Drosophila melanogaster: one gene and its partners. The protein of the gene in region 2 interacts with the protein of the main gene of each other region in a pairwise test. Each region holds a gene or a part of one and is shown on either strand. Other genes may lie near its edges. The genes, in order: CG12768, Cyp9f2, bys and san.

Region 1 (6,160 bases), on a different chromosome or scaffold from region 2:
AATACACCATTCTATAACGATCAGCATTAAACATGTTCCTAAATTCAAAATTCTATGGATGTCCAGTCATATCGGCATCAAAGACAATGCAACAACCCTATTAACCGTCAGAAATTATAATGGCACCGATATAAATATTTATAAAAAAAAGGCCAACATGACAAAACCAATTAGATTAGGAATTCATCTCCCTGATACCTACCAATCTATAACCCCAAATTATCGAAAACATTACCGATGATACCAAACACTGTAAAAACTATTATGTACCCAGAAGAGAAGAGAAGAAAAGAGATATCACAAAAATCGTGAGGCTACGTAGGACACACCAGACTGACCCATGAGCATCGATTCTCCCAGCCAATCAACCGTCAATGCAATACGTACCGAAATCAATTTCCCACATCCTAGACGATTGCATCGCCCTCCAAACACATGGATCCAGAAAACCAGAATTCAAACCAAAATGCTGTGGCACAAAGATCAAACATAATACTACCAAAATTGCTTCACTTGGGTGAAAAGTGAATCCTCGAACATATCTGGGATATCGATAGATATTGGGGAATAAAAGGAGGACAATTTAAAAATTGTGACCGTTTTGGTCGATTTGTAGGTTTTAGGGCGTTAGAGTGGGCGTGGCAAAAGGTTTTTTAGCAAATCAATAGAAATTTTCAAGACTAATAAAATTATATAGGCATGGCTGTTTTGTACGTTAGGGTTTTAGAGTGGGCGTGGCAAAAATCGATACTCGAAAATATACTTTATATGGTTGGAAACGCTTCATTCTGCCTATTACATACTTTTCAACGAATCTAGTATACCCTTTTACTCTACGAGTAACGAGTATAATTATCTTAATATATCTTAATATCTCCTTTATAAAGGTGTTAATTTTGTGCACAAAAAGTGGGTAAATTTCCCATAGTGCAATGGAAACACCATTAAAGCGTCGTGTAAAAAAGTTGGTCAATTTTTTCTAATGGTTTGTACTGTTCCGGGATGGCACAACAACTTGGAATCACATTTATAAGTTTTTTTTGTGAATTGAAAAACTAAACTTAAATCGCAAATACATATATCAATAGAACAATATGAATGTTCTTACTACGTAAAATAATAGGCAATTTTCCCTGGCCCCTAACGGAACCGAAGTCGCCCTACTCAGCTGATTTTATCCCAATCTGACACGCCCGTGACATGCTGTTGCCTATCCGAAAATATTTGTGTACCACGGATTACATTGCAGTAATGGATTTAATTTAAGCTGTGGACCGCGTTCGACTCAACTGCAGATTCATCAGCGCCGAGAACGCATACTGATAAGTCGAATCAGAATCAGACAAAGCGGTATGCTGCGTTCTGCTGAAAAAGGAAAGGGAGAGCGAAAACACGGATGGCTGTGTTGGTGCGATTGATAAATACGAGTTCATTCTTAAAGCTTATTTTTTAGATGACCAAGCGGGAGACAACAACGAGTAAACAAGAGCAACAGCAACAGCGGGCAATAAAGTTGATTGCAGCAGTGGCAAATTGAATATTTGCCAGCGCGCGTGTGTGTGTGCGCAGCCTTTTTGTTTGTGCTTGTTCGCATTGTTAAATATCCGCACCAGCAGTGCAGCCAAATGGGATGATAGATGCCGAATGCCGAATGGCGCGCGAGCAGAGCGAGTGGCTACCATTGTTAATCCGCAGTTCGTCCTCTGTGCCCCTTGCCTCCTCCCTCGCTCATTCCTGTGCCACAGCTCAGCTTGCTACCAAAACTCGACCTCGACTTCATCCCTTGCTCTCTCGGAACTCTCATGCTCAAGCTGTTGCTTCAGCTACAGCTCAGCGTACAATTGTTGCTTTGCGGAGACTGCGCTCATTGCCGGGTGCTGCCAATCCTGGGTGCAATCCGTTCATTATTTATCCGGCTGGTGGTAAGCAAATAGCGCTCACAAGCCACTTAGTGCTATCACTCTTGGATTAATCACTGGGCACGGCTCGGCGATAACGTGTCACTGCCACAAACGGAACCGCAACGGCGATAAATATTTTTCACAGCGAAAATAACACTGCCTAACAAAGTTTGAAACACTGTGACTAGAACATTTCCAAACTTCAGCTATTTCTTCAGCTATCAGTTATATATTTTAGAATAGATAAACAGAATATATATAATGCCATTTATGTAATGATTTCGATGAATAGATAGATGGCTAATATTTTACCGGTACTCCACCAAGGTGTTTTAAAGAAGACGGCTTTAAAGGTTTCCTATAATATACATTTTTTTATTAAATTTCATTTTATTTATTTTAAAATGCGTCCCGTTTGAGTGGAGGATATGTCTAATATAGTCCTAAATAGATACCAAGTAAATATCTTTTCGTATCACTCCACACACACACAAAAAGTTGAGTTTATAATTACATTATTCACGCAGCCCTCTAGGCTCCCTCACTATGCCAATTTCTTTTGTTGTGTAGTGTAATAGCATAGGATTGGCAGCCTCCGATTGTTTACACCAGCGTAGGCGGCACTGCAACAACAACAATAGCATCCTCTGCTCTCATTCTCTCTCCCGTGCTTTGCGCTCTGGAGCGGAGCAGAAAAGAAAAGCGCCATTCGCTCACTTTCTCTCCGGCTCTCTTTGTGCTGCTGCGCCAATTTGCAAGAAAACTAAGTTGGTTTGCTGTGCAGTTGTGACAATCGTCGAGGAGAGCAGCGGCGCACTCTCTAAAAGGAAGCTGCCAAGCCAACGAACGGCCAAGCGAGAGGTGACAAGTGAAAAGTGGCAAGTGGATGTACCAAATAGTGACAGGTTCACTAGTAGTAATCGCAAGTTAGCTGCCCGTTTGGCTGCAGATTTTCGTCAAAGTTCGCTATTCGTGTTGTTTTTTGATGTTTTCGTCTCTCTCGGCTGTCCGCATAGGCAATGTGTGTATACATATACGCGATTTCACACTGACAACAGGGCCGGGCGCGTGTATGAGTGTGGTTATTTTGCCGTGTTGCCGAACATCTGTATCTGTATCTGAATCTGTGGCAGCCAATAGTTGTGGCAAGGCCCTCGAGCAACTCGCAACACAACACATAACAACAGCATCCCCAATAAGTGGCAGCAACTACGCCGCATGGCAAAGCACCAACGGCCGCATTTGTTGTTAATTGAAATAAATTGAAATAAATTCCCCGACTTTGCTGCTCATATTGTTAATAAAGAGAAGCCGGAGCGACGCAACAGCGAATCAGCAGCAGTAAACAAAACTGTGAGCAAAAGGTTTTAGTTCCATTCCAGGCGTCAGACGACTTTGAGTACAAGCGACAAACAACCAGAACATCTAAGGAATTCCGAGCGAACAATGTGAATAATGTTGGTATCACAAGCAATTGGTGGCAATAACCAAAAAGAGCACATGCGTTTATTTATAGACCCCAGTGTGTTCCCATTAGTGAGTGTGTGGCGTGCTGTGCACTGCAAATGAGTTCAAGCTGCAGCCAAAGAGAAGGAGGCGTCCTACCAATACCAATCCTTGTGTAGTCTTGTTCCCTCCACAATCAGATCGGTCGCAGACCAACAGTAGCAGCTGAAATTCCTCGATCGGCACACGAAATCGTATGTAAATACTTTCCTGCCGAGTCAGCCTCTCAGAATGCCAATGTTTACAGTATTCGATTATTGTTTAACTAACAGCCTCTTATGGGAAAGTGGAATACATACATTAATTGATGGGGGAGGTGGGGGTTGGGGTTTGTAGGGTCTGCTATAAGCAGATTTCCCGTATTTGATTTGTCCCCTCTGTTGTCTCAGTTTCAGTGGGACCCATACTCCCGAAAATCAATTGTATTTAACTGTGCGTATGCGATTTCGAAAACAAAAACACCCCTCCTGCTGGGGTCATTGCACCCAAGGTGCGTGGGTGCGTGTGTCAACACTTTTGAACCCCTAAGCACCCACCCGAGAAATACGCCGAAAAGTATGCAACGAACATGGCGACCATCAGCACAAGCAACTTTAACGATTTTCTCACCTCATTTCTATACTTACTTTGCAGCGCAGCATCCGGCGACACAGGACATGCGCAGTGGCCTTTTTGGTAGTTGCATTTCGGCCAACAGCGACTGAAAGAGCAGAGAGCGGAGGAGCATGGCCTTTTCCCGCCACAACATCGAGAAGCGCCGACTCATCGAGCTCGTGCGACTCAACCCAATCCTCTGGGACTGCCGCCTGCCACACTACAAGCGTTCGGACAAGCGAAAAGCCATCAAATGGAACGAGTTGGGGCGGCTCTTCAACGTTAATGGCGAGCGGGTGCAGCGCACGTTTACTTCGCTCCGCGAGATCTTCCGCCGCGAGCTGAACCACGAAAAGATGCTGGGCACCACGCGCTTCAAGTCCAAGTGGGAATACTACGATGCCATGGCCTTCCTCAAGGAGGTCATTCGGGAACGCAAGTAAGACGACGTTTGACCTGCCCTAAAATACTACCTTATGATATATGTAGATCCCGTTTAAGGGATTTTGGACATTCCAGTTATTTGTTCTAGTGTCTTTGGAAAAAGGGTTTACTAAATTCGTTGAAAAGTGTGTAACAGGTAAAAGGAAGCGTTTTCGACCATATAAGGTACATATATATATTTCTGAACAGGATCAATAGCCAAGCCTCGAGCTCAGGAACTATAAAATACCACACTTTTGAAAAATGTTTTCATTTTTCTTGGTTTCATTTTTTTTATCTTACCGATATACCAAAAACACTTTGGCTACGCCTCTTCTGAAAAATTCAAACCGCTCACAACAATTTTAATTCCCCAATATCTATCGACAAGCAAGGAAAATTATAGAATTTCGCGTTCGCACTAGCTGAGTAACGGGTATGTGATAGTCGGGTTTTCGACTACAGCAATTGTGTTCCGATTATAATCACTGAAAAAGTTGTTTGAGCAAATTCGGAGAGAGGTGACCGCGAAATAATCACCGTCACTTAAAAGCCTAAACATATTTACATATTCAACATTTAGATTTTGATTTTACGCGATTTTTAAGTTTTTATTGTTATAAGAAGAATGATTAGTGTAAGGGATTGGGAATATAAATGTCGAGATAGTTCTCAAAATAATACGCAAGTCACCTTCCTCGGTTACAATAAATTTACATTGATTTTACTGAAATCAAATCAAATAAAAACTAGTTAAAGAAAATAACTGTTGTCTACCGAATAAGAACAATGACGCAGATAAGAATATAAATGTCTAGATAATTCACAAGGATTGTGTGCAAGTCAAATCTAAATTTAAGCATTTAGGAAGGGTATACATAGAAATTCTATTAAAACTTTGAATTTGTTTCATGTGGTCGGTCCAGAACTGACCAACAGGCAAGAATGAAATGCATGCCTGCGGATCTGCATCATAGCACCTATCTGCTAACCTTGAGGCAAGCACCCGCTTTCCAAAAAAGCTAATTACAACTTTTGCTTTTTAGATCTCGCGAGCGCATCAAGCACGGCTCTTTGGATTCAGCACCAGTAGCCACAGGCAGCAGCAACAATAACAACAACTGCGTAAGCCGCAATAGCAGCAACAACAACAGCAGCAGTGCGGCCCTAGACGAATATCAGTACTTTGCTCCTAGCGACCCCAACAACCCGAACAATCAGCCCCAGCTGCAGCCCGAACCAAAGAGTAGTCTGCCAGTGACTATTCCCAGTCTAAGTCTCACCCTCAGCCAGTTGCCGGTGGCTCTGCAGCAGCAGGCCCAGCATCTCCAAGCCTTACAGTTGCAACCGGACGTGACGCTGACTTCCCTGCAGAAACAATCTTTACCCACTTCCCTTACCAATGCCACACCCGCGCCCTTAGCACAAACCTCGCCCGCCCAGGTGCTGTCCAGCTCGCGCTCATGCAGCTCTTCGCCCTCCATCTATATAAAGGACGAGCCGTGTTCTCCGGCAGGGGGTTGTCCGGAAGAAGTGATGACCGGAAATGGACCAGAGGCGACAAGGAAGAAGCTGGCCACAATTCGTCCGCAGACCAAACAGCAACTTAAAGCGCGTCTGCAGCTGCCCACGCCCAAAAACTCATCATCGTACGCTACGTCGCCGCCCCATTTGATCATCAATGCCAACAACGAGCTTATTGACACCGACGCCGGGGACCTGGAGGAGGATCTGGA
Region 2 (6,225 bases):
GCACAAATTAGTTAATCAATAGGTAATGCAAACGTAAATCCAAATTTCATATTAAGATAAATATATTTAACATACATACATACATATATGTATTTTTAATAACATCGAATGCACCTCATTAAAGACACTATTTGTTGGCCACGATTTCAAACTTAATGCCGTGCTCGTGCTTCTCCAGCTCGCTGATGAGACTGGTGCCACGGAAGGCTGCTCCGGGTGGCAGGACTCCGCCGGATCCGGGCATCTTGTCGCTTTCGTTGAGGATGGTCTTCGCCGTGGAGAGCAGTGCAACGCAAGTGGATCCATAGCCGGGATTGGGACCCGTAACCCTCACGGTCAGTGTCTTTGTGGGCGGAGAGGTGTACTGATCGGTGGTCTCGGCTAGTTTTTCGGACTTGGGCCAGCCTGTGGCCTTCATGGTCATTCTGAAGAAGGAGCGCTCCATCCGCGCCTCACTGGGACCCTCGCGGGAAGCCATGCCGCCGGAGAAGACGGTGGGGTACTTAAGCAGCAGCTGGCGGCCAAAGGAGAACTTGGCCATAATGCCAATGATAGAGGCGAAGAGCACGACAACGCTGGCCGCAAACCATGAGGGATACGTCATGTAGGCCTGCATCTGAACGGGTCGCTTCTTCTCCAGTTCGTAAAGGAAACGCTGCGAGCGCATCACCACCGAGCGATCTGTTTCAGGGAACGGCAGGATCACCTTGTTGTCCACTTCCGCGGCACGGGAAAGCGGCGATCGTGACTTAAGAGCCGGATGAAAGTTGGGCAGACGCTCGGGAAACAACTTGCGCCGGATGGCCACAGACTCGCTCCGGTTGGCGATAGCGTGAATGGCGCTCTCCCAGGTGCCGGTGTTGAGTGCAGCACTGCCCGTTCCCTTGGTACCTCCCTTGACGCCCAGATGGACAAAGTTCTCCACTGAGTTGACCACGCCGTCGAAGTTCTTCTCCACGAAGGTGACTCCCATGTCGGCGGGAATGGAATCAAAGCCGCACGCACTGATCACGTACACGCCACGCTCCTTGGCGAGATCATGGTAGCGCAGCTGCATGGTTTCCATGTACTGTGGCTCTCCGCTTACGTCTACGTGATGCGTTCCCGCCTCGATGCAAGCCCTGACCACTCGCTCGCCGAAGAACCGATATGGTCCGGCCGTATTGACTAAAATGCGGCAGCGTTTGGCCATCTCTAGCAGTGACGCCTCGTTGTTCACGTCCGCGATGACGATCGGCGTTTGGGAGAGGTCTGTCTTGGACTTTGCACCCATCTCCCGCAGCACCGACTGCAGCTTCTCCTGGTTGCGTCCGGCGATGCCCCATTGCAGGCCCTTCAGCACGCTGACAGCCTCGAAGACGGTGTACTTTCCGGTAAACCCGGAGGCACCGAAGATTATGGCATCCAGTTTCTTAGCCGCCATTCCAGAGTCCACAGATATGCGACTATAATGATTTGACTAGAAATGTCTTATCACTTCCAGACCGAAAGGTAATTCGTCTGCTTCGGCCGACTGGCGAAATGTTAATAATGCTAATCGCACCGTATAAGAGCTGTATTTATTGAAGATAGTAGCGTCGTGACTGTACAAAACTGAATCGAACAGGTAAAGATCGATTGCAGATAGCAACAAGTGGCTAGTAACTCGGATAATGAAGTTGAAATGAAATAAAATATTTTTACTAGAAACTATTGAAAATGAAAATGCTTTGCGTCCTTTTTTATCGATGATAATTTAATTTATGGTGATGATGGTTTAATTTACATCCTAATACTTAAAATCCCTCAGATCAAATTGTTAGTTCTCGAACTACTACGCATAAACTTCGATAGCCAACAAGAAATCGATGAATTTTAAAACGATAAATTGGCCAAGTTTAAATATATGAATTTAATGAAGTTGTGTGCCATTAAAATAGAAAAAATATATATTAAAGAATTAGAAAACAGAATTTCGAAATATTCTGTTTCTATATTTTAAACATAATATTGGTATGCTCAGAGTCGTCAGCATTTTCTCCAACACGCCGTGATAATGAAATGATGAGTGATATTCTAAATCATTTGCGCTCAGAAATTTGTACATACTTGTGTGTATTACAGACAACAAGTATTTTATCAAATGCAGTACACGAAGCTTTGTTAGAAAGCTCTGCGTGGGGACAACAAAACGCTCCCGATTGTTTGTGGCGTAGTTAGTTATATTCTGGACGCTTAGATCGCCAAGCTAGGGTCAACATGTTGTGGGAGTTCTTCGCCCTATTTGCGATCGCTGCCGCCTTGTTCTACCGTTGGGCGTCCGCCAACAATGATTTCTTCAAGGATAGGGGCATCGCCTATGAAAAGCCAGTGCTCTACTTTGGCAACATGGCCGGCATGTTCCTGCGGAAGAGGGCCATGTTTGACATAGTCTGTGATCTCTACACCAAAGGCGGAAGTAAGAAGTGAGTTAAATTCATTGATCCGGATTTAATAAGTTGATTACCTAATATGCATCCGGCTCACTTGCACTTGCACTTAAAACACGTTTGGAACAAGTGTGTATCTACTGGCCTCCAGCATTGCGTACAAGCCTATATAAAATCGTATGTCAAGGTCAGGCAATCAGTGATCTATCTATACACACATTTAGTGGGTGCGGCTGCGTTCGACTACGTTTTGAATATACAATTACAGAAATTCAGAAATACTCTATTATATTTTGTTAAGTCTTTTATCTAAAGCAGTGTGTAACTGCCAAGATAATTGGCGAAATGCTTGGTTCTATTAGTTTAGTTTGCCATAATCTTATCGATTATACGACAGCTTTAAATGTTGTTTGTCTCGGACGGCAAACTTGATAGGAAAAATAATTGATAAAGCTCCTGAAAAGTGCTATAACGATAAGGTTATCTAATTTATTAATTAACTTCATATTGGGGCAACTCTTTGTATGACTTTACCCTTTTTGTTACTTTATAAACATGCAATCATTATTGTACTCAGCCTTTTCAATTGGATTTAATGTACATATGATTTATTTATAGACCAATACGAGAAATCCGCTTTATAAATTTATAGTTTTCCAAAAAGAAATCGAGATGGGTTAATTGAAAATTCGTCGGATAGGTAATGAACAACGCTAGCCATGCATAAACTCGAATTTCTGTTATCGTTTTCTAAACTTGTTGAGCGCACGATTAATAATTTCTGATTTGATTTATCAGTGTGTGACTCACAAAAAGCTTATCGGTCATTAACATTATTATTTTTTTTAGATTTTTTGGTATCTTTGAGCAGCGACAACCACTTTTAATGGTGCGCGACCCAGATCTTATCAAGCAGATAACCATAAAGGACTTCGATCACTTTATCAATCATCGCAATGTGTTTGCCACCAGCAGCGATGATGATCCACATGACATGAGTAACCTTTTCGGCAGCTCGCTGTTCTCCATGCGAGATGCTCGGTGGAAGGATATGCGAAGCACTCTGAGTCCGGCATTTACAGGCAGCAAAATGCGTCAGATGTTCCAGCTGATGAACCAGGTGGCCAAGGAGGCCGTGGACTGTCTTAAGCAGGATGATTCAAGGGTTCAGGAGAATGAACTGGACATGAAGGACTACTGCACACGATTCACCAATGATGTGATCGCCTCGACAGCCTTTGGACTGCAAGTGAACTCGTTCAAGGATCGCGAAAATACCTTCTATCAGATGGGAAAAAAGCTGACCACATTTACATTCCTGCAGAGCATGAAGTTCATGTTGTTCTTCGCATTGAAGGGTCTTAATAAGGTTGGCACAGCATACACACATATCAAAAAAATATATTCCTTAATTTTAATAATCCTTGTAGATCCTTAAGGTCGAGCTTTTCGATAGGAAAAGCACTCAGTATTTCGTGCGTCTGGTGCTCGATGCTATGAAATACCGACAGGAGCACAATATTGTACGTCCCGACATGATAAACATGCTGATGGAGGCTCGTGGTATCATCCAGACGGAGAAGACCAAGGCATCTGCCGTTCGCGAGTGGAGCGATCGCGACATTGTCGCCCAGTGTTTCGTGTTCTTCTTTGCTGGCTTCGAGACTTCGGCGGTGCTGATGTGCTTCACCGCTCACGAGCTAATGGAGAACCAGGATGTGCAGCAGAGGCTATACGAGGAGGTACAGCAAGTGGACCAAGACCTGGAGGGCAAAGAACTGACCTATGAGGCAATTATGGGCATGAAGTATCTGGATCAGGTCGTCAACGAGGTTCTGCGAAAGTGGCCGGCGGCAATTGCCGTCGATCGAGAATGCAACAAGGATATCACCTTCGATGTGGATGGCCAGAAAGTCGAGGTCAAGAAGGGCGATGTCATCTGGCTGCCTACATGCGGCTTCCATCGTGATCCCAAGTACTTTGAGAACCCTATGAAGTTCGATCCGGAACGTTTTAGCGATGAGAACAAGGAGTCTATTCAGCCATTCACATACTTCCCCTTTGGCCTGGGTCAACGCAACTGCATTGGTAAGTTGATTGATTCAAAATTGTTCTTCGAAAAAATGTAAAATGTATTTATTATAGGTTCCCGATTCGCTCTACTTGAAGCAAAGGCTGTTATCTACTATCTTTTGAAGGACTACCGCTTTGCCCCTGCCAAGAAATCCTGCATTCCACTAGAGCTCATTACTTCCGGTTTTCAGTTGTCACCCAAAGGCGGCTTTTGGATTAAACTTGTTCAAAGGAACTAATCTTATAAACGATCAAAATAATAATATGTTTTGTTGAATGTTATGTTTTAAAGAAGTTGACATTATTAAATTTAAACAATTAATGGTAATTTGTTTCTTTGTTTTTAATTTATACCAAAAATGATAAAAAGATAGCATATACTTATGTCGTGACTCTACAAAACTGAATCGAACAGGTAAAGATCGATTGCAGATAACAACGAGTGGCTCGTTTACACGGTAACTCTGATAATGAAGTTGAAATTAAATAAATAATTTTTACCAGAAACTATTGAAAATGAAAATGCTTGGCGGAGTTTTTATCGATGATATCACGTTTAATTTACATCCTAATACTTAAAATCCCTCAACTTAAATTGTTAGTTCTTGAACTACTACGCATAAACTTCGATAGCCAACATGAAATCGATTGCTTTTAAAACGATAATTTGGCCAAGATTAAATATTTAAATTTAATGAAGTTGTGTGCCATTAAAATAGAAAAAAATTATTAAAATTTATTAAAGAATTAGAAAACAAAATTTCGAAATATTTTGTCTCTATATTTTAAACATAAGATTGGTATGCTTTATAAGTGCATAAGATACATGCAATTAATTTGTTTACATTTGCAACCGGCTGAGTTGACGCTGTTGAGACGAAACTCTGCATGGAGGCATTATCCCGAAGATCGGTGATGGAATTATTCACTGAAACGGTTTCAAAGGTGTACAGGGCGCGGAATCCGATGGCCACAAAGCGATCATTGGAATGCAAGGTGACTCGAAAGAAACGTCCATCAGAACGCATTTCAAAATCGGGAAGCTTTCCGCAGTATCTGCTGAACTTTCGATCCGTGCTCATGAAATTGGAAAACTCGATGTAATCGCTGGCGGTTTGGTGGTCACAACTGCACAGAAAAGGGGATTAAACATTTTTAGGTGATAGTTTAGATAAAGATCTTACCTTCCAATGCCCTCGATATCGAAATATGTGAAGTGAAGCACAACTCTTTCGTCACTTGCTCCGTAGAAATAATAATTGCACACAACATTTTCCAGGTAATATCCGGGAAAATTCGGAGAGTGAAATAGGCCACTTATTCGCTCGCTGCTATTGTAGACAAAGGAACATCCTTCCTTTTGAATCCCCGACATGATACCAAAATCTTGAAAATAAGCCAATTTTTAAATAAATATCAGTCTTTATTTGATTAAGACTCAGTGGAAACACTTACTGGTTAAGAAACGGTACTCCGCGCGAAATCCGTAGTATTGCACCTTGTTCGTCATTGTGGGCGGATATTTTCCGACAAACTGAAGGTGTAGCTGCTGTCCACTGGACATCAGTGGCTTGGGCAGGAAGGCGCCGCAGAGCAGTTCCTGCGTCTCGTACCGTCCACGCAGCTCGGTGACCACGTGCAGCGCATCGCCCGGCTGGCAACCCGTGGAATTCTCGTGCTCCGTAGGCACGTTGAAGTCGTGGAATCGAATCTGCACCCGTTCTGGCGCCTGAGCTTCAAATTC
Region 3 (5,289 bases), on a different chromosome or scaffold from region 2:
CCAATGGGTAAATACTTGATTCTTTGATTGAAAACGGTCCCTAAAAACCAAAATCAAAATCGAAATTGAAATCGAAAACCAAAACCGTAATCCCTAAAAGTAATTCAATTAAACGAAATAAATCACGATCAAGAACAAGAAGCAAATGAATACTTGCCACTTTCATTTCTCGAATTGGGCGTAAGGTGCGGACCCTTCATTCGGTATGCACATAGCCAATGCTCACTGTACCCTTCCCCCACATGCGAGTATATCAGTTTATGTCTAAGGCTTTAGCTTTCGCTTCAAACGATCATCGCCTATGTATTTAAAGCCCCGAAAAACTTTCGATATCCTTACTCACTGACGGCATTCCAAATTCATATTGCTTTTAAGATCGGTTATTATATACAAACATACCCACGCTCTCTTTACAAATTGTATTTCGAAATCAAAGCTCAGCTTGAAAACACACAAAAAAAAAAACGGAAAAAAACAGAAGTAAGCAAATTTAAGAAACGAAATTATTGATAAGGCTTGAGGCCTAAGTACTTGGGTAAACTAATTTCAAATGGTCCAGTGTAGTTATTGTAAATTATTCAAATTGATCCCGACCCGAATCGGTCCTTGGAGTATGCCCTTAAATAACACAAATGAAAAACAGAACAGAATAAAACAAAACAAAACAAAACAAGACAAATGTTGGAGTGAGATAACGAAACAATACTTAGAGACTAATAAAAAGTGACGAAACGAAACTTTTAGAAAGATTTTGGTTACAGAATTATATTTAATAATTACTACATTTAAAATTGAGATTATAAAACTACATACATACATAATGTATAACGCGGGCGTCTGGTCAATATGGCCGATGCGACTGCGACGGCGCCAAAAGATACCGTCATTGTCAAGCAAAAAACCAAAAGCAACTAAAACTTAATGCAAAATTGTATAAAAAAAAAACCACACACAAACACACACATTTGTTTTTTCTATTAAAACATTCAAAACATCTGAAGTGGCTTTCATTTTCCCACAGAATAAACATCTGCATTTGATTTTCACTGCATATGTAGGTATATTTACATATTTAACGACTATCCGATATTAAATAGTAAAACAATATCATCTTAAAGTTATCCTTAATTTACACCGCCTCAGCCCTCGTACTCCACATCGGCATCTGTGTACATCTTGGCTGGCTGCCCAGCCAGGCCATTATCCGTCTCCATCATTTCCACATCGCGACAACTGGCCGCCTGGAGCTCCCTTCTCACATCGGGTGTAATCTTGAAATGGCTCTTCTTTCTGCAATTGTGATTTACAGTTACTAACAGTTCTAGGGTTTCAATAGCATTCGATTTACTTACTTGAGCAGCTGCAGCAGTGCATCCCGCTGTTCGGAGGATATATCGTTCTTGTATCGCTGGGCAAAGGTGAGCAGGCTCTGGTGCCATAGCACTGGTAACTCACGCTTGTCGTTCTCGAATCTGCAAGAAACCATGTTATTTCGATTTCTAAAAGGCATTGTAGTGAGAATACCAACCTTAGAAAATGAAAGACTGCGGCATCCACGACGCGATAAGGCAGAGCATACCGCTTGTCCAGAAAGTAACGGATGAATATGGAGTTAGCTCCCGAATAGGCCATCTCACAGATCTTCAGCAGGCAGGCGGAGGAGTGCAGGACGGGAATAGAGCTGCGGGCCACCACACTGCCGAAAATGATGGCCTCGCGCAATGTGCAATCGCCGCCCTCGAGCAGCGGCAGAATGATTCCCTTCATGAAGGCAGCCGGCTTGAAGAGAGCCCTCTTCAGTGCATTGTACAGATGCATATTGAGCTTCTTATATTCGCAGAGATCATCACGAACTCGTGGCAGGAGCACCAGGTTATAGAACCTCTGGGCCATTGCCTGCGACAGCACCGAGCAGAAGATGCGGGTGCCTTGGAACATGGCGGCAGCGCTCCAATTATGGGGCTCAGTGATGAACAAGATCTGCTCCCAATTGCGCAGCTTGGGTATGATCTTGAAGGCCTTAGGGATCTTGCCACTGCGATAGCGTTTCAACACATCGCGCACGCCCTCGTACATCTCCTTCACTTTCGGGTCGATTTCCTCGATCTTTAGTGAGCCCTCGTCAGAGATCTTAGTGTGTATGTCGGCCTCCTTCTCCTGGATCTTCTGCATGATCATCTTGGACAGGTGCAACGTACGCTTGCCCTCCTGTGCTGGCTGCTGGAAGCGCTCGAACGCGGCCACATCGTCTTCGTCCATGTCCAGGTCGGCCATGAGGTCAGTCTCGTTGACCTCTTCATCCTCCTTGACATGGCCATCATCTAAGTAAGGACAGGTAATGTTGGTTAGCTTAGCTTAGGATAGTGAAACTTAGGGCGCACTTACTCAAACTGAAGTTGACTTTCTTGACGGTCACCAGACTGGGAAAGTTCTCTTCGTCCAGCTCCAACTGCTGCAGCTTGGCCGCGGCCAGGATCTTTTGACTACTTCTGGCATCGATGTTCTGTGTTCAAATAGGAAAGAATTTGTTTAAAAACACAAAACGCAGTTCAAACCCGGATTCTTACCGCCGATTCCTCGGCCCGCAGTTTGACTTTATCCTTGTTCTTGTTTTTCGCCACCCTGCCCTCGGTGATCTGCTTCTCCAGATTCACATTTTTAATCGTTGCCACGTTGGCCTTCTTCGGCTTACCCATTTTGCTCGGATATTGTCAAAAATCAAGTGTAATAATAAGGGCAACAAAAATTGTAATCACTACACGTGCTGCAACAAAGCAGTGGCGTTACCGGATATTTTGAAAGAATCGAAAAACAAAACACATTTTCGCACGTGTGGCAACGTCGCAGGGCTGGCTTTTCGATAGGCTTGTGAGACCAGGGATGGTGGCGCAAACGATATTGAATGCAGTAATTCAATAAAATCTATATATATTGTTTTTGAAGTTTATTATGAAATCGATTGTACCGATATAATTCGTTTCAAGATGTATTTAAAAAGTCGCATAAATAAATATTTAGAACGCACAATATAGCATGTTTGATGAATCAGTGCAATTATCTCCATTCTCGTGTATTATTAATAACGAGTGTTATTTTCGTACTTATTTGGCATAATTCTTATAATTTTAATTAATACAAACAATTTAGTGATCTTCATAGTTTTAATAAACTCATTTACTTTTTAATATTTGTTATGTCTCAGTTTTAATGTTATAGTGAAGGTTGGATATATAAATCCACTTCATATTTTGGTACGTTTTTACATCGAAAGAAATTATTAAATATCGCCGTGAGCACGAACTATCGATATGCGGCGGTACAGCTGGTCGATCTGTCATCTCTACTTCCTCCTATCGGTCTTTTTCAACCCTGCGCTCGCAGCCAACAGACCTCCGCCGTTTCTTTTTTTTTCTGCGTTGCGTGCAAACAGACCGACAATATGAAGGTGTGCTAAAAATTTGTGATAATACTGATATAAATTATATCAATTTGTGAAATATTGCGAAAATGCTAAAGCGCAAGCATTGGCGCGGTGATCAAACAAATTGCAAGCGAAAATGTCCAGTGATTGCGTTAAAATAAGTGGATGATATTATCTCCGCTGCAATTCGACTTAATATACATTTATATGTATGTTTATGCATTGTGTGTGACTTTTTTTTTTGCATTGTGTGTTCCAGCTCAACGTTTCCTATCCCGCGACGGGATGCCAAAAGCTATTCGAAGTGGTCGACGAGCACAAGCTGCGCGTCTTCTACGAGAAGCGTATGGGACAGGTTGTGGAGGCCGATATCCTCGGTGACGAGTGGAAGGGCTACCAGCTGCGCATCGCCGGCGGCAACGACAAGCAGGGATTCCCCATGAAGCAGGGTGTCTTGACCCACGGTAAGTTTGCAATGCGATTTACAATTATGGTGTTGAGCAGTGAATGATTGTATCTGGCTAGCCGGCATAGGTTTAGTCTTTTGTACGCCTTGAAAGAGTGGTTCCTATTAAGAAACGTATGGAAATCCTTTTAAGCATTTGTAATAAAGCCTAGCAACCTGGATCAGTCTTGTGATAATATATCTAAAAGAACATAACCTTAATATGGAAGCGTCTGTGTATACTTCTGTGCATATTCGTGGCGAGTTTTTCGATTCTTAGTAATACAAAGCGAATATTTCCAACAATTTAGTTGCAACGTTGCTAGCAGCTAGTAATTTACTATATGTGATTGGAGTACGTTCCAAAGATGAGCAAACAATTAGTAGGATAAATTTCCTTAAGTATTTGCAAACACATTTCCTTACACCCGAATGGCTAATGGCTAACCAGATAATAACTTTCCAATCACTGCTCATATCCATGGACTGCTCTCAAGAAACTACTACAAAAAGCAATCATCTTTTCCAACAGGCCGTGTGCGTCTGCTCCTGAAGAAGGGACACTCCTGCTACCGTCCACGCCGCACTGGCGAGCGTAAGCGCAAGTCTGTGCGTGGATGCATCGTGGACGCCAACATGTCTGTGCTGGCTCTGGTCGTCTTGAAGAAGGGTGAGAAGGACATTCCCGGTCTCACCGACACCACCATCCCACGTCGCCTGGGACCCAAGCGTGCTAGCAAGATCCGCAAGCTCTACAACTTGAGCAAGGAAGATGATGTGCGTCGCTTCGTTGTGCGTCGCCCTTTGCCCGCCAAGGACAACAAGAAGGCCACCTCCAAGGCCCCCAAAATTCAGCGCCTGATCACCCCCGTTGTGCTGCAGCGCAAGCACCGTCGCATTGCGCTGAAGAAGAAGCGCCAGATCGCTTCCAAGGAGGCTTCCGCCGACTACGCCAAGCTGTTGGTGCAGCGCAAGAAGGAGTCCAAGGCCAAGCGCGAGGAGGCCAAGCGCCGCCGTTCTGCCTCCATTCGCGAGTCCAAGAGCTCTGTCTCCAGCGACAAGAAGTAAACACCGCGACACGGAACCCACATTCTTCGTTTAAGCAGAAACTGAACGTTGATCACAACCAAATGATCCACGAGAGGAGAAATAAAACTTTGTAACCATTTATGTTAAATAAACGCGATAAATGGTATAGAATGTGGTGTGTTGTGTTCAATTATATTGATCGATTGAGCGAGTGTAAGCTTTAGGATATATATACTAAAGTATCGGGTGTAAATGTTTTCATATTGCATGTGATTTTGGTTATGAGCTAGCCAGCGGCATTTTTTGGTAAGGAAACCATGGAAAACAAACACTATCTTGGAATTCCAACATAAGCCATTATATGGCCAAATCGGAATCGGAAAGAGATGGAAAC
Region 4 (4,906 bases), on a different chromosome or scaffold from region 2:
TTAAAGGATTAGAGGATAAGTTAGTTTCCATTGAAAACCACATACTTATGTCAATAGCTCACTGTCAGTCCAGTACAATCCTCTGCATCCTTGGGCGCGCGTTCTGCCGTCGGCGCTTTGTGCTGCACAATTCGCATGCCACCAGCCTTCACTATAATTAAATAACAAAAACATATAGGGTTGGCAACAAATGAGGCTTGGCCACAGTAGCCGATTCAAGCCGTGTTTACGTAAAGCGGCTATTAAAAAGTAAGTAAGCCATACTAGTCGTCCAAAGTTGACATGTTATTATTTACATTGTACGAAGATGATTAAGTCAATGGCATTTTATAAACGTTAAGGATAAAATATAAGGCGTAAAAAGCTACTTTAAAAAGTAATAATTTCCTATTCAGTTAACGTTATTGTTTGAATTGCACGTGACGTCAGCATAAAGTACAAATACAAACATACATTTCTTGAAAGCTATGCGTTTGCTTGCCTGTGTTCGCTTATTTGTTTACTTATCAGCTTTGGCCGAAACAGGTTAAGATACTGATAAGGGCGCAGATATTCTGGCAATTGATTTGATTGGGTGCATTATTGATTGCCAACAAGGCAGTTTGTTCTTATAAGATTCAATTGCTGCCAAAAATCGAAAACTCGTCTGCATCGACACACACACACCAATGCAAGTGCACTTACATGCAGGTGGGTGTCCGGCCACAAGATTTGGTTGTTCATCTGCCATTTGTTCTGGTTTAGTAAGCTGAGGGTCGGAGAAGTTGAATAAATTAACGGCTTGTGCACAGTTAACAACAAAATGAGACCTTACCGCTTTTCTAGTTGTAAATAAATGCGCGGCACCGCTGTGTTTTGCTTTTGCGTTCTAATTGTGACACGTCCGACTGTTGTCTATCGAATTTTTAGCCTTTTCTCACTGGATGCGCAGTTACTCATCGACTGCTGCAACGCGTTCTCACTGCAAACATTTTCACAAATAGTGGTACACGAAATACAACTAGAATTTATTTTATTGCTCGATGTTTTTGTGTAACATGTTTTCTGTATGCAAACTAATGCCCACAAGCTATATTTATTTTATTATTTTCCCTTTTACTCTTCCGCCTGTAAAAACGTTGAGTATGGTAACACCATTTCGACTTTCCCAAACAAAGATCATTGTTATCTTATATCTAAGAATATTTATTTACTTAACTTAAGTGCATGCGTGTGAAATAATAAAACCTAATGCTACTACAACTATCAATCAGCCTGCGAAATGTTCTGCGCGGCACTAATCAGAGTGTCGTGTATATCCTTGGCGGACTGTATGTGAACGCGGACCGTGTTCAAGTAAGTGGGATACGAAATGGGGCCGGCGTTGTCCGGCATAAAGGTCTCCATGCGCATGGGAGTCACCGGACCGGGGAGATAGTGATTGGAGGAGTTCTGCTGCTGGAGGCACTGCATCGCCGTCTTCAAGTGGATCTCGATCTGGTCGCAACAGGCGTAAAAGTCTTCCAAGTGCTTGTCGAACCGCGGAACATGGTGGGCACCCGTGTCCCTCTTTAAGTTGTCCGCGAGATTGTTTTGCTGCAGCGCGAAGGCGCTCGACCGGATGGTGAGGAACATGGACTCCCGCAGTGGTCCCAGCAAACTCTTCACCCTGGAAATGTTGTCCAATTTTTCGGCCTGCTGCTGCTGCTGCAGTGGCTGTGGAGGCTGCTGCTGTTGATGCTGCACTGGTCCTGGGGGTCCCGATGGCGAGGATTGCATTACCTGCATCATTTGTGGCCCAGACATGGGCATCATGTTCATGTTGGGATTCATTTGGCACTCGAAATCGATGGATATTGGGGGAGAAAAATATTGAACAGCCGCGAATTGTTTTCTTTTTGTGAAGAAAAACCCGTTAGGAGATTTCTCACATTTGCGTTCGCGTACCCATGGCGAATATCGAATATAATATAAATATAACTAAGAGTTGCTAAAAAATACAAAAGTTGTACTGTAAATTTAAAAAATTCTTTAAAAAAAACTAGTTTAGAAACAAGGACTACCCAATATTTCATATTGTTACATACATAAAAGTGTATCTATAGCATAACTCACTACGAAAAAGTAGAGGTAACAATATGTTTTGAAATTAAAAGTTGGCCATTATTGAAAGTGTTCGTTCATATTCTAACTGTCAAACAAGTGATAGCTAATGTCAACCGACCGGAAAGAGCTGTCATCTCATTTAGTGTATGCGTATCCCAAATAAAAAACGATGTGTAATGTTTCATTTAGCATTGAGTGTTTTTAGTTCTGTTTTAATTAATTATTAGTTTTTGTTTATTGCTTAAAATAGTGTGAGCAAAAAAGTTTAGTTAGTAGTCTTAGATATGAAAATCAAATTTATCTTGCTATAAAATAGCTATTCTGGCCGGCGTCAATAACCGATAACGATAACTTGCGACCTGCAACCCGAACAATCAGGAACAGCTGAGGCGCTTAAAACACATTTTCCTATTACAATTTTCGGCGCAAAGCGCGTTGCTAAATCAACAGAAATCGTACAGACAACATGACTAGGTGAGTGGCTATCTTTGCCGGACCATTGGAGGATTGTGACTGCAGGAGATGCACCGGAATCATAACCTAAAAGTGCCGCTTGGGTCGGAAAAGCTAACCCATGTTCCTACCCTTTCCCGCTTGCAGGAGCAGCATCGAACTGGGCGACGTGACGCCCCACAACATCAAGCAGCTAAAGAAGCTCAACACCGTGGTTTTCCCGGTCTCCTACAATGACAAGTTTTACGTGGACGTCCTGGAGGCCGGCGAACTGGCCAAATTGGCCTACTACAACGACATTGTAGTGGGCGCCGTCTGTTGTCGCATCGACAACACTGAGAACCAGCGGCGCCTGTATATCATGACCCTAGGATGCCTCTCCCCGTACCGGCGCCTGGGCATCGGCACAGTTATGTTCGAGCACATTATGAACTTCGCCGAGAAGGACGGAAACTTCGACAGCATTTTTCTGTAAGAAAACTTATCATTAAGATTCGTGTGTTTTCGACACACCCCTGGGGAGCAATGTAGTTCGATTTTAATGTAACCTATAACTATTTAAGTGGGAAAGTTTAATTCCGGCCTATCTGGCTTATTTATCTATCCATTTAATACATAATATATATATTTTTGGCTAAGGAGGAAATAGGTTTATTTCGAAAATACTTTAGATCATGTTTTTTAATTCTGGTTATAATTTTAGACATGTGCAAATCAACAACAACGGAGCCATCGAGTTCTATAAGAAGTTTGGTTTCGAGATTGTTGACACCAAGGAGCAATACTATAAGCGCATCGAGCCGGCGGACGCTCATGTACTGCAAAAGACTCTGCGCCGCACTGCACCCAACTCAAACAGCACCGCCACCAGCACCACCGCGAACTCAAATTCACGTAGTAAAGCACGACAGTTCACATTTGTTTAAAGATGAATTTCAATATGTATAACAAACAGACATGTAGAGGCGGCCAAAACGATGTATTCAATTAGTCCGATCATATCTATGTGTAATCAATAATAATTACCCCTGCGCGGGAATAAATAGCTCTATACGGCTTGGCCAGTCGAAACTAACATTACTTGGGCAATGCAACGCGACGATGGCTTTGTCTACTGTTACGGAAACTTGTACAGCCTCCTGCTCTACTGGGGATTGGTCACAATCCGGGTGAGAAGTCCTGATCGTGGAGGTGCGTTTTCAAACAGGTGGACTGTGTGCTATGCCCTTTTCACGCGCTCCTTTATGGTTATCTGCTTTATGGCTACCGTGATGACTAAGCTGAGGGATCCCGAGATGTCCGCTGCCATGTTTGGACACCTTAGCCCGTTGGTCAAGGCAATATTCACCTGGGAGTGCCTCAGTTGCTCGGTCACCTACATTGAGTACTGCCTTTCGCTGGACTTGCAGAAGGACAGACACCTGAAACTCGTGGCTAGGATGCAAGAGTTCGATCGTTCCGTTTTGATGGTGTTCCCTCATGTTCAGTGGAACTATCGACGCGCTCGCTTGAAGTATTGGTATGGCACTGTGATTGTCGGCTTTTGCTTTTTCTCCTTTTCCATCTCACTGATCTTCGATACGACGCGTTGCACATGCGGCATACCGTCCACCTTGCTGATGGCCTTCACCTACACCTTGCTGACCAGTTCCGTAGGATTGCTGGGTTTCGTGCACATAGGTATTATGGACTTTATAAGGGTTCGTCTGCGTCTGGTGCAGCAGCTGCTTCACCAACTTTACCAAGCGGATGACAGTTCAGAGGTGCACGAAAGGATTGCTTATCTTTTCGAAATGTCCAAGCGCTGTTCGTTTCTCCTGGCGGAGTTAAACGGAGTTTTTGGATTCGCCGCAGCTGCTGGTATCTTTTATGATTTCACTATCATGACCTGCTTCGTGTACGTTATCTGCCAAAAGCTGCTGGAGAGAGAGCCCTGGGATCCCGAGTACGTGTACATGTTGCTGCACGTGGCCATACACACCTACAAAGTGGTCATTACTAGCACCTATGGGTATTTACTTCTGCGAGAGGTGGGTGACCTTATTTCCGTATGCAGAAACTTGCATTTCGCATCTCTATCTGGTTTTCTCTAGAAACGCAACTGTATGCATTTGTTGAGCCAATACTCGCGATACTTCTCCGGACAGGATGTGGCTCGCCGGAAAACGGAGGACTTTCAGCATTGGCGCATGCACAATCGGCAAGCGGCAATGGTGGGCAGCACAACCTTGCTAAGTGTTTCTACCATTTACCTGGTGGGTGATACCATGAGCCGCTCGGAAACCTGCCTGATCTGATCTTTTACTTATCCTGGCAGGTGTACAACGGAATGGCCAACTATGTGATTATCCTGGTGCAGCTGCTATTT

The links.
Region 1: the proteins of Cyp9f2 (region 2) and CG12768 interact in a two-hybrid assay, tested with the Drosophila melanogaster proteins (one large-scale study listed by BioGRID).
Region 3: the proteins of Cyp9f2 (region 2) and bys interact in a two-hybrid assay, tested with the Drosophila melanogaster proteins (one large-scale study listed by BioGRID).
Region 4: the proteins of Cyp9f2 (region 2) and san interact in a two-hybrid assay, tested with the Drosophila melanogaster proteins (one large-scale study listed by BioGRID).

Annotation. Positions count from the first base shown.
Region 1 is NT_037436.4:22,907,794-22,913,953, forward strand, and holds the start of CG12768 (uncharacterized protein), read left to right. Parts: upstream 1-2,697; 5' UTR 2,698-2,779; intron 2,780-3,039; exon of another isoform or gene 3,040-3,358; intron 3,359-3,796; exon of another isoform or gene 3,797-3,962; intron 3,963-4,040; 5' UTR 4,041-4,132; coding exon 4,133-4,440; intron 4,441-5,470; coding exon 5,471-6,160.
Region 2 is NT_033777.3:12,401,922-12,408,146, reverse strand, and holds Cyp9f2 (cytochrome P450 9f2), read left to right. Parts: upstream 1-2,118; 5' UTR 2,119-2,238; coding exon 2,239-2,444; intron 2,445-3,257; coding exon 3,258-3,777; intron 3,778-3,838; coding exon 3,839-4,496; intron 4,497-4,553; coding exon 4,554-4,720; 3' UTR 4,721-4,807; downstream 4,808-6,225. Other genes in the region: CG5167 (uncharacterized protein), read right to left, coding at 128-1,423; Sol1, read right to left, coding at 5,267-5,609, 5,666-5,867, 5,937-6,225. UniProt on the Drosophila melanogaster protein: May be involved in the metabolism of insect hormones and in the breakdown of synthetic insecticides.
Region 3 is NC_004354.4:7,899,399-7,904,687, reverse strand, and holds bys (by S6), read right to left. Parts: upstream 2,809-5,289; 5' UTR 2,697-2,808; coding exon 2,568-2,696; intron 2,504-2,567; coding exon 2,386-2,503; intron 2,322-2,385; coding exon 1,529-2,321; intron 1,473-1,528; coding exon 1,353-1,472; intron 1,291-1,352; coding exon 1,140-1,290; 3' UTR 1,045-1,139; downstream 1-1,044. Other genes in the region: RpS6 (ribosomal protein S6), read left to right, coding at 3,440-3,445, 3,681-3,885, 4,399-4,934. UniProt on the Drosophila melanogaster protein: Required for processing of 20S pre-rRNA precursor and biogenesis of 40S ribosomal subunits.
Region 4 is NT_033778.4:11,358,274-11,363,179, forward strand, and holds san (separation anxiety), read left to right. Parts: upstream 1-2,432; 5' UTR 2,433-2,551; coding exon 2,552-2,559; intron 2,560-2,685; coding exon 2,686-3,009; intron 3,010-3,241; coding exon 3,242-3,464; 3' UTR 3,465-3,598; downstream 3,599-4,906. Other genes in the region: CG12384 (uncharacterized protein), read right to left, coding at 63-151, 685-730; ix (intersex), read right to left, coding at 1,246-1,812; Gr47b (gustatory receptor 47b), read left to right, coding at 3,627-4,568, 4,632-4,793, 4,856-4,906. UniProt on the Drosophila melanogaster protein: N-alpha-acetyltransferase that acetylates the N-terminus of proteins that retain their initiating methionine. Has a broad substrate specificity: able to acetylate the initiator methionine of most peptides.